Linked DNA regions of Nothobranchius furzeri. The protein of the gene in region 2 binds, or shares a complex with, the protein of the main gene of each other region. Links are inferred from orthologs where the notes say so. Each region holds a gene or a part of one and is shown on either strand. Other genes may lie near its edges. The genes, in order: b9d2, cc2d2a and tmem231.

What was found.
Region 1: cc2d2a (region 2) and b9d2 share a complex: the UniProt entries of both Homo sapiens proteins name them as parts of the tectonic-like complex. The link is inferred for Nothobranchius furzeri from reciprocal best matches to the Homo sapiens genes CC2D2A and B9D2.
Region 3: cc2d2a (region 2) and tmem231 share a complex: the UniProt entries of both Homo sapiens proteins name them as parts of the tectonic-like complex. The link is inferred for Nothobranchius furzeri from reciprocal best matches to the Homo sapiens genes CC2D2A and TMEM231.

The regions. Positions count from the first base shown.
Region 1 is NC_091743.1:62,503,141-62,506,285, reverse strand, and holds b9d2 (B9 domain-containing protein 2), read left to right. Parts: upstream 1-1,497; 5' UTR 1,498-1,935; coding exon 1,936-2,463; 3' UTR 2,464-2,619; downstream 2,620-3,145. Other genes in the region: poc1a (POC1 centriolar protein homolog A), read right to left, coding at 95-202, 390-569, 770-941, 1,072-1,156, 2,804-2,818. UniProt on the Homo sapiens protein: Component of the tectonic-like complex, a complex localized at the transition zone of primary cilia and acting as a barrier that prevents diffusion of transmembrane proteins between the cilia and plasma membranes.
Region 2 is NC_091748.1:39,034,570-39,038,222, reverse strand, and holds part of cc2d2a (coiled-coil and C2 domain-containing protein 2A), read right to left. Parts: intron 3,505-3,653; coding exon 3,313-3,504; intron 3,229-3,312; coding exon 3,122-3,228; intron 2,988-3,121; coding exon 2,847-2,987; intron 2,679-2,846; coding exon 2,522-2,678; intron 2,404-2,521; coding exon 2,132-2,403; intron 1,986-2,131; coding exon 1,808-1,985; intron 1,404-1,807; coding exon 1,250-1,403; intron 1-1,249. UniProt on the Homo sapiens protein: Component of the tectonic-like complex, a complex localized at the transition zone of primary cilia and acting as a barrier that prevents diffusion of transmembrane proteins between the cilia and plasma membranes.
Region 3 is NC_091744.1:86,200,663-86,204,993, forward strand, and holds the start of tmem231 (transmembrane protein 231), read left to right. Parts: upstream 1-1,465; 5' UTR 1,466-1,698; coding exon 1,699-1,837; intron 1,838-3,611; coding exon 3,612-3,778; intron 3,779-4,160; coding exon 4,161-4,289; intron 4,290-4,331. Other genes in the region: gabarapl2 (gamma-aminobutyric acid receptor-associated protein-like 2), read right to left, coding at 1-36, 908-941. UniProt on the Homo sapiens protein: Transmembrane component of the tectonic-like complex, a complex localized at the transition zone of primary cilia and acting as a barrier that prevents diffusion of transmembrane proteins between the cilia and plasma membranes.

The DNA.
Region 1 (3,145 bases), on a different chromosome or scaffold from region 2:
AAATACACTTCAGATAAAAATATTAGACATATCTTCATACTTCTACTCTTTCTTGTGCACTCATCAATACATTTTTTATACATCTCGAGCTCACCCAGCATGTTCAAAGAAAGAATGAATGCACTCTCTGCTGTTCTTGTCCCATAGCTTTATAGTTCTATCATCACTGCAGGACACAATTAAACGATCATCTGGAGAAAACCTGGAGAAAAGCACATTAAAATTTTAAAATTAAACATTTGAGAGGAAAAGTGTAAAAAAAAAAGGTGAAAACTTGACATCACATATTAAATTTTTTAAACACTTGTACAACACTTTACTCATCATTACAAATATCACAGGGAAACTTGCATGGTGTGGTATTAAATGGGAGTGTGTGTGTTTCATACTTGGCACAGCGGACCCAGTTGATGTGCTGGTTAAGAGAGAAGAGGAACTTCTGCCTGTGGACCGTCCACACTTTGATTGTTTTGTCATTAGACGCTGTGACCAGGCTCTGTCCATCACCGGAGAAGTTAACACAACGCACAGTGGCAGTGTGAGCCCTGAATTCAGTTGAATCAGCCTTCCTGCAAACACAAAAGGTATTATTCATACATAAAGCAGACAAACACACTGTTTATTCAGGGCGCTGGTATGATGAAATTAGAGTAATCAGCAGATCTTGTTCTTTTGCCTTTAGGAATCCACAGCTTTGTCTTGAGTGATAATTTCTGGAGAAACTTGATGAGAAGAAAACAACATAAAATGCTGCTACGTATAAACTTACATGCTGGGCACCCAGAGACGTACAGTTTTGTCTCTAGAGGCCGAGGCCACAAGGTGACCAGATGGAGAAAACTGGACAGAGTTTACAGCTTCTCTGTGTCCATCGAAACGATAAGCTCTCATCTGAGGCTTCAAGTTCCAGATCATCACACAAGAATCCATAGAGCCTGTGACTGAGAAAGGAGGAAGCACAAGCTGGTTGAAGCAAGAGATTGGTATTAACTACAATGTGCACACAACAAACTGGATAACAGGTGAATATATAGACGGACAAAGGCTCAGATCAAATAATAATAATATTACCAATTTGTTTCATGTTGCGGCTGAAGTCCACACTTGTCACGACGTCCCTGTGACCCTTGAAATTTCTCTCTAGGGTTGGATCAGACTATGATGAAATCAACAGAGATTTTCAATTATTTTACAAGTTTATGTTTGGAAATTATTTTTTCATTTGTTTTATGACCACTTTTGTTATTAAATGATATTTTCTTCTTTTTTGTATTTTATGTTTTATTTTTTATGTAATTTTCATTGAAGAACTTCATGATTTTCTTTTCTACAATAGGTTCTATATAAATAAATTTTACTTTCTTTAGTTATCCATTGAGTTATATAAAAGTTGCAAGATGAACAGTCATCAGGAAAAGCAGGAGAAAGCATATCTAAATAAATAGCTTTTTAGAATTTATAACCTTAAAAAATAAAGCACCATTGAGATGTAAACAATACATTAAAAAGTACAGTGCACTTCATTTGCCATCTTGTTGAACTTGCGCTGTTAAATAGTTATTCGGAAAAAAGTAAACCAGCGGTTCTTGTATACCCTTTATTCAGTCTTTCAGGTATGATTGTAATTTATGTAACAGCTGCTTCACGTCATTAATTAAATTGGTTAAAATTCGTAATTAGTTTACTAAATTAAAGGTTAAGTAATATTTTTTTAGCAAGAAGATATAAAAATGTGTCTCATTTGCCTTCAAAAATAGAACCAGCCCTAGACAGGAAGTGCTGCCTGACAGACTCTGCTCAGGGAGTGCTGTATTAAGAGCACACTATGGCAGGCTGGGTTACCAAGGAGACGTGAGCTGCGTTTGTTGCTCTGTAGCCTTTGATAAAAGCGGGCTCCGTGTGTCGCATGTTCTGGTTAAAGCGGACAGCTGTGAAATGGCAGAGCTTCACATTATAGGACAGATCATCGGGGCCAGCGGGTTTCCTCAAAAAAGCCTATTTTGCAAATGGGAAGTTCATACGGGGGGAGCATGGCGTCTTCTCTCGGGGCTGAAGGAGGGTCAGACTCAGGTGGATTCCCCCCACAGCGGAGAAATGGCTTACTGGAGCCACCCAATTGATCTGCACTATGCGACCAAAGGTCTCCAGGGCTGGCCGAAGCTTCATCTGCAAGTGTGGCACCAGGACTCATTCGGCCGCTACCAGCTGTACGGATACGGGTACTGCCACGTTCCCTCCAGCCCCGGACATCACCGCATAAGCTGTGTGACATGGAGGCCGCTCGGCTCCTGGCAAGAGCAGCTAGCACGAATATTTGTCGGCGGAGGCCCCCAGCTCCGCAACCCGGATCTGATTTACAGTGGAGCGGACAGATACAGACTGCACACCGAGGCCATGGGCACTGTGAATCTGGAGCTGGGCGTCATCATAAGACACTTTGACAAACATGGCGTCGAGAGCTGAGACGTCAAATAAGAATGTTGTATTGATTGTTTTCTTATAAAAAGTTTGTTTTGTCGCAAATGCCTTTGAAAAATTACACACGGCAAAGTTTTGTACATTTCTATGCTGATGTTTTTACACCTGAAATACAGCTATAAATAAACACTTATCATTGAAGTTGGTTTCTTATTCATCTACCGTTTACCATCAATCCAACTATACCTAATATTTCATATTTGTAACGTTATGAATATTTGAACATGTGTGTGTGTGTGTGTGCGTTAACCAAAACAAGTAGTCTACTACAAATCAGACACGAACTTCCTCAGTTGCTACAGTAACAAGTGCTAGCCAAACTCACCAGTGCAGAAGTCATTTTTCCCGGTATTTAGCACGTACACCCGAGTAAAGAGGCTCGTTGCTGCTTTGGCTATTATGACCGAAATACAATTGTTCTCAACTGTGGGTTTTGAAATGAACAGAGGGAGGAAAATATCGCTCCGGTAATTGGAATTGTTTTTTCTAATGCTAGCTGCTAACAACAGAGTTCAGTTTACGCGCCGTGATTGGGCGCTGAGCTGTTGGCCAGAGTCCTTAAAGGGGACGCTGGACATTAAAGGACGTTTGTGTCGAAAAAAGACTTCAATCAAATGTAAAAACGATGAATAACAAAATAAGAAGTTCCGGATTGTACAAGCAGTTA
Region 2 (3,653 bases):
TTTCAGTTTTCAGGAACACAGGTCAGTTCAGATCGATGAGCTAACAGCTAGTATGAGTAGGGCCAATTACAAAGTGTTTGTGTCATCTTTAAACAACACTAATCTAAAACACTAGCAGCTCATGTAAGTGCTATTTCATAAACATTTACATCACCATATATTTTATATTAAACAGCTATTCACATCAAACTCAGCGGTGACTCTAAAACTAAGGAGACCAGTTTCTTCCTGGCTTGAATTTATGACATTTCAGCCAGAAAATACTTCAAATGTGAAAAATGATGGCATGGTAAAGGTTATAAAATAGCATCTGCATAAACTGCTGTGAAGTTTTAGGAACGTTTGTAAATGTTTAGTCAAAACCAATCTCTGTTACTCCTAACTGAAGCTGTTCATAGCTACAAGTAAGACGTCGATCGATCGTAACATTTCAACAAAACCTCGCTTTAAGAGACTTGAACTACTGCTTAGTTCAATCATTTCTGACAGTCCTAAACTATAAATCTGCAAGTTTTAAGATCTTTCAGACTCTGCCTTCATTTTTGAAAGTTCTCATTCAATCATTTGTTCTATAAATCTGCCGAGGCCTACAGTATGGATTAAAATGTTGTATGCTGTTTAGTGTAGAAGCTGTGTGTGTGTGTGGGTGGGTGGCGCAGCAGGATTTGGAGACTTACTCATTAATATTCATGATATGCCAACATCTTGCCTCTGATTGGCTAACAGTAACTTGACTCTTCTGCTGCCTTCAATCCTTCTTCTTACTTGGGTAACAAATGATGATTTCTCTCCACAAACAACACAAGCCTGAAGAGGTTCTGCCACGTTGTGAAGATGCTAATGATTAGCTTCTACTAGCTGACATGTGCTCTGCTCTCTCCTGGATGCTAAATCAATACAGCTTTTCTGTGGGTGGTGGCAAGCCAAGAAGGGCGAGGCAGTTTTCCCCTGTGACGTAGATCTGTACGGCTTTACCACACAGTCTGTTTTCTATCGGCAGAGTAATGCAGGAAATAGGGGTAGAAACTATTTTCATGATCAGCTTGCATGTGAAACTCAGCATGACAGACTGTTTCCAAAAACAAGTATTATAGTTTCTCAGTGAACGAGAACTTTAAGGACACTGCACACCATAGTTGACTGAAAATGATCCTGTTAGTAAATCTTAACAGGAACACTTGTTGGGAACAGGAATGTTACACGGCACTGTACATATGCGAGTGAAGCAGAAATGAACAACAGTATTTACCACTTCCTACTCCTTCATGATCAAACATGACTCTTTGGTTGCTGCTAAACTCAAACGTCTCCACAGGAGCGCTGCCTGTAACCACTGAGGGTTCTGGTACCGGAACAAACACCTGAGCCAGGAGGGAGGAGGATGATCCAATCTGCTCAAACACCTGCACACAACACACACACGCACACACACACACACACACACACACACACACACACACACACACACACACACACACACACACACACACACACACACACACGCAGACACACACACACACACACACACACACACACACACACACACACACACACACACACACGCACACACACACACACGCAGACACACACACACACACACACACACACACACACACGCAGACACACACACACACACACGCACACACACACACACACACACACACACACACACACACACGCACACACACACACACACACACACACACACACACACACACACACACACACACACACAGAACTGATGAGAAACAGACTGCAGCTGCAGCAGTAACAACCTTGCGGTGCATTCAGAGTTCCTCTACTCCACCTGCAGATTCATGCTCTGGGGACAGTTAAGGATCTTGAGGTGGAACAGCTGGGTGAACTGCACCCTGAAGTCAGATCTCAGGGAGCAGCTGCCTGTTCGGGAAACTTCCTTGTCATTGTACAGGACTTTGATGAAAAGCGATCGCTTGGAAACATCTTCTCTTCGAGCAACCTCAGCCCTTAAACGAGAGAGCATAACAAACAGGATAAAAGCATGTAAAGTACTACAATAAGCAGTCTTCTCATGCCATCGACTAACATTTCCATAAATACATGAAACGTGCCAGTTAAAGGGGTGTTGCAGTTTGTGATGAATACGGTTTACCTGGGACAGAGTTCACTGGGTGTGATGCTTCCTGATGCAGACAGCTCTGGGGTCAGAATGACCTCTCCTGGCTTCCTGCGTATCCTCGAGGCTTTTTCTCTCACCCATTGCTCTATGGAGTCAAAGTCCGGCCTCTCGGGGGGTTCTGGTTTAGGAGGACCTTCCTCAAAGGGTCCTTCTGATTCGCTCCCTTCCTGGTCTTGATCTTCCTCGTCTGTATCATCCTGTGTCTGACCTCGTTTCTTCTTCTTTTTCTTCTTCTTTTTGGCTTTCTGAAAACATGGGATATAAAAATATGTGCAAAAATAAATATGCAATCCTACAAGAACAAGGCTGGCCTTATTTTACTCCACGGTGTTTGTGATGGTTCCAGCAGCAGTAGTCAGACACCTGCTTCTTCCTCCAGCGCTTCCACTCCTCCTGCTGTTTCTTGTACTCTGCCAGCTTCTTCTGGTAGTCCTCCTCATGCTCTGCCTCTATCTCCAAAGCTTCTGTCAGGATTTCCTCCTCGTACATGTGCTCATCTGCAGCCAGGTCCACGTTCTCTCTGAAGCATCAAGAAACAAAGCAGCACATTTATGGTATGAATAGAAAACCTTTCAGACTGCTGCAATAAGTATAATTAACATAATTCTGTTAAGATTTATAATAGAAAACTGAAGGAAATTTCTAAATGATGTTTTCAGTCAGGGTTGGCTGGAACAGGAGAGCTTACCTTCTGAGGTAGAGCTTGTATGGTGTGTTAGTAAATGTCTGAAATTCTCTCAGAGCTTTGATCTCCTTCCACACTTTGATGATGTTCTTTAGCAGAGTTCTGTCCTTCTCCTGCTCCATATCTCTCAGGTGTCGAGTATTCCTGGAACGTTCATGGGAAACTCTGCCAACTCTGTCCAACATGTTTCTGGACATATTAGGATCTAATGGGCCACTCCCATCGGTCCCGGGTCGGCCCGGTACCGATGGGAGTGGCCCATAAATGAGCCACCTCACCTCACTTCAAGGCTGTACTCAAAAATCCTCCTCTGAAGGGCCTGAGGGAGGTCCTGATCACCGTGGACCTTCACCACATTCCTCAAAGCATTCCTTAAACCATTCAACTAAAGCGGACACAAACACTCAGCTGTGTCAAAGCATTGTGGTACGGCCGTGGTAACCTCTCCACAGTATCTGGTGAAGTCTACCTTGTCAGTGAGGTGTCCTGAGAGATTACTCTGCCTCCTGGTGAGATACTGGTCGAACAGGTGAGCTAGACGAGCTGCCAGCACGTGTTCACGGCTGAAGAGAGGGTGATGGGAGAAGATCAGCCCCGACACATTGACATCGATCTGGTAGTCCCCCGTGGGGTCTGATGAACCGTACATGGACTTCAGCGGCTGAGAGACAGCAGAGATAACAACATTATCCAGCATTCGCTGCACAACAAAACTCTCAGCATTTGTTTTTAACTGCATGTCTGTTTGTGTGTTTATGATTAAAGATGAGATCAATTAAACTACAGAAGCATTTGTATATTAAAAGATTC
Region 3 (4,331 bases), on a different chromosome or scaffold from region 2:
TGTTGCGTATTTTGGCTGACTCCACACATCGGTGCTCTGAGGGAGGGACAGAAAACAAACAGGAAGTAGAGATTAAAAGGATGAGTGAGGCCTCTTGGGATTCTTCCTCTGCCATCTTAAAGCCAAGCCTTGTTCAACACAGAGAGCTCCCTGTGCACAGCAGACACTTTTCACACAAGATGCAGCACGCATAAAATGGATTATCAACTCTAACAACAATTTGTGATCAAATTAAGGCACTAGCTGCCTTTCACAGTGATTGTAATCATGATTGATGCCATTGTGTGCATTGATTTTAGGCAGGACATGCAGCAATGCAGAAAATGAGGCCCGGGGAGGGGAGGAGAGGTGATAGTTGATAAGGTGCAGGCTTTCATTAACCCAGATAAGAGGCCTACTTTGGATGTGTTTCTTTAAAAAGGTTATCCGGTGAGAGTTTCCACACAAAAGCTGAGTTACATAACAGAAATGGCTCCAATGAGATGTGAGTTCAGTTACTGTTAATGCGTTTGAAACAATCCTGACTTACATGTTCAAATTGTATTTTCATTAGGTCTCTTAGCCAATTAAAAAAATATAAGAATTTATTCTTGCTGGATTTGTTCTGACATTAGGTGTTTAGGTCAAACATTATCAAAAGGTGTAAACACACAGTGTAAAGACAGGAATCAGAGCAGATTCAGCTGATTTTGCTTTTAGGGCAACGATAAAGCGACCAAAAAGGGAAAATGGTTTCATGCAGCGAAATCGAATTACAGCAGTCGTGCAAATGGCAAAAAATAAAAGCATGCATTACTGCGTCTATGAGCGGTGGCATTGCTAAACGATGCGGGGACAGTAAAACAGAATAAGGTGGGATGACACGACAAGAGCATCTCTTGTTTCATAACAATCCAAACCCTTTTACCGAGGGAATGGTCCTCTTTAAACATCCATTTCATCTTTGCTGGATCCCCGCACTGAGGCGTGACGCGTAGAAGCTTCTAAATCTGCGGGTAATGTCGGCGAATTGTCCAAATATCCAGACAAACGCAATCAAAACAACGTCAAATTAGCCTTTCAGCTGTGCGTCTAGCGGAGAGGTGACGTCAACGTCTGACAGAGTGCTGCCTTCACGGGCTCTCCGGGAGAGTCGGTCTATCCGTGACTGAGTCCTCACACACATAAAACATAATGGTAAAGGCGCTTGTTTGTATTTCTGTTATTTTCTAAAGAACAGAATAACACATACAGTCAGAATGAGTAACATCATAAGAAAAATACCTAATAAATGATTTCCATAATCTCTAAAAAATGCCCCCAAGACAGTCTGTGTAAATAGTTTCTCTACACTATGTTCATCAAAATTAAAAAGAGTAGCAGACGCCTCATAAAATAGCAACATTTCCACATCTGGAAAAAAGGTTCCCGTACTCTCAAACGTTGCGTGAACGCAGTCTGGTCGTTGGCTGCCATGGTAACCGCCAGACGCCTAGCTAACATGGCGTGGGATCCCGCACCGATAATCACAGAGGCTAACAAAAATAGCATGTTAAACGCCAAATTTCGTGATGAATATGTCTTTATGGGGCTGCTTGACTCCACATTCAACTAGATGGACATTGCTTTATATGAGTTAAATATGTTTGTGAGCTTTTTCTCTTATTAGACCCGAGTTAGCATCCGCGTTAGCGGTTAGCGTTTAGCTAGCGGGTACTCATGGCTTTTTATGAAGTCTACTCTCACCCGGCCGTGGTTCGGTACAAAACCAGTGTTTGTACAACAGCTACCTTATTTCTGGTTGTTGTTTTATGCCTTACGTACATCCCACCGCTGCTGGTTGCATACAGGAGTCAAGGTACAGTAACGGTCACCAGAAAGCTTTTATTAACTGTTCATCGTGTCTCCTCAAATGTCCTACGATGTGTAAATCCTCAGTTACAGAGACAAGAAGTAATAACAAATGCTTAGGTTCACCAAAACCTCGGGTTTATGGAGGGAACAAGTCTTGTAAAGTTTATTGAAGGAAGGTTTACTGAATGTTTTTTATTATCTTATTATAATTTTGCCCTTTTTGTATTTGTTACCATCACAAAGATATTTAATCTGACCATCAAGTGACTGCAGAAAAACCAATCCCAGATTAAATTCACATAATGATAGAATAAAATAACAGGGATATTTACAGACCAACTTTTCATGCTTTTATACTGTGATGTGACTGAAAAAAAATACAAATAAAATATGCATTTATTGTGATTGATGAGTGAAAGTTTCGTAATTAACTTGGAGAATATTGCAGAAACCTGCAATAAAAAGCCTCAGTTTTGTGTTTGAAATTATTTCTTTTAAATAATGATAAACGAACCTCACGTGTACAGCACCTTTCAGAGTCGGAGGACTCCAAAGCTCTTTACACTACAGTGTTTCATTCATCCATTCACACACATTCACACGCTGATGAGCTACATTGTATCCACAGCTGCACTTGGCCTTCCGATTACTGGACAACCCGCTGTGCCTCTTGAGCTGCTGGTCCAATATTAGAGAGGCATCCATTCTGGTTTTTGAGATTGATACAGGTTTTCAGTTCTTGTACAGATCTGACCAGCAGGTGCTGAATATCTTATACTTTAGACAACCCCAACTTTTGCTAAATCATATGGAGAAACTCTGAAAAGCAGTTATGTTCAGCAACAAAGGCTGCAGAACTTTAGTTGATCATCTTTGAGCCAGAAACCTGCTTGTGCAGCTAAGTCTCATTCTCATTTTACACATACCTCTCAGTAGGTAATTTGCAGTTTTTTTTTTACCCTGAAGGTATTTAATTCTCCAAGTAGCTTTCTACAGATTCCCACTCTTAACCCTGTTGCAAAACAAAACTAATAAATCTGGAAAACTCATCTAATATTTACCAATCAGCATCCATTTTGGCTCATGTGATATTTAGACACTGCCAATAAACTAGTTCACTTATTGAAAACATACACAAATTTCTCTTAAAATTAAGAATTTTTTGCATTAAGATTTGAAAATGTGCTCCATAACTTGTGATTTTAGCACGACCAATAAAGCAACATGGCAACGTCAAGTTCTTGTCAATGTCTGGAAATCTCACTTGTGTTAATCCACCAGATTTTACAGGAAACGTTCCTGTTCACAAACTTAATATGGAAACAAAAACACATGGTTTACTCCGCAGATCACCTTAGCTTGTGAGATTTATAATCTCGACAACAACTCGAGAGCTTCTTTACAAAACCTTCAGTTGCTGAGATGATAAAGTTTTATAGCAGCAATAAAAATAAAAGAGTAACTTACCTGATAACAGTGCTTTCACACATTGTTTTACAGCATCTAGTCTAAATGACAGCTTTGTTTCTTTTTTTAACACACCACTGACTGTTTCCAATTGTCATTTACCTAAAAAAAACAACGTTTAAAATATTTGACCATGTTGAAAATGATTATTTTGGATGTCAAAGACATTTTCATGGAAGAGCTGTTATTGCCCGTGTGAATTAGCTTAGTGGACGTTCACGAGAAGATGAGGTGGAGAAAGGAGTTGAGTGGAACTGTATCTGACGCTCTGAGCAGATAGAGTTCACTGCTTTAGTTTCTTCTCATTTCAGGTTTCTGGATAAAACGAAGCATTTACGAAGAACAGCCGGTTGTGAGGTTCCAGTACGAGACTTTGCTGTTAGCAGCAACCAGTGCTCAAGGACATTATGTTGCCTGGAGCACTTTCCCTTTCCTTAACAACATGCTTGGGACCAACCTACGTATCCCCACTATCTCTGTAAGAAAACTCAACGTTCCTCTCCCTTAAGTTATTTCTGAATCACTGGTAAAATCTCTGCAGCTTTGATTTCATATTTTACACCTAAAAGGCTGAGACTGACTGCCAACCAGAGCAGGATGAATACTGTTGAAGTAAAAAACATGCTGGTGCTCAGCCAGCCAGCAGTGAGTCAGAACACAGAAAATTCACATAAAAGACTTAATAGGTGCTTAATATTTGTGAAAGTGAAAACATAAAGAAACCAGAAAAAGCTAAAACACATTTTTACTCTAAAGGAGGATCATTCATTTCCACGAGTCTCTTGTGCCTCTGCAAGATTGTCTTTTGTAATTATGTATTTTTGTTTTGTAAATGAAAATTGTGTTTTGTTTTCATAAAGGTGAGAGAGGAGGACCTGAACCAGGATGGGAAACTGGACCGTTTGAACCTGCAACTGCAGCTTCCGCTGAAACCTGATGAACAAGTTTACAGCATTCAGCTGCTGCTCACCTTCAGCTACCAGCTCTTTGTATGTATCCCACTCCAGTAGCCGTCTCACAAAGAGCTCTTT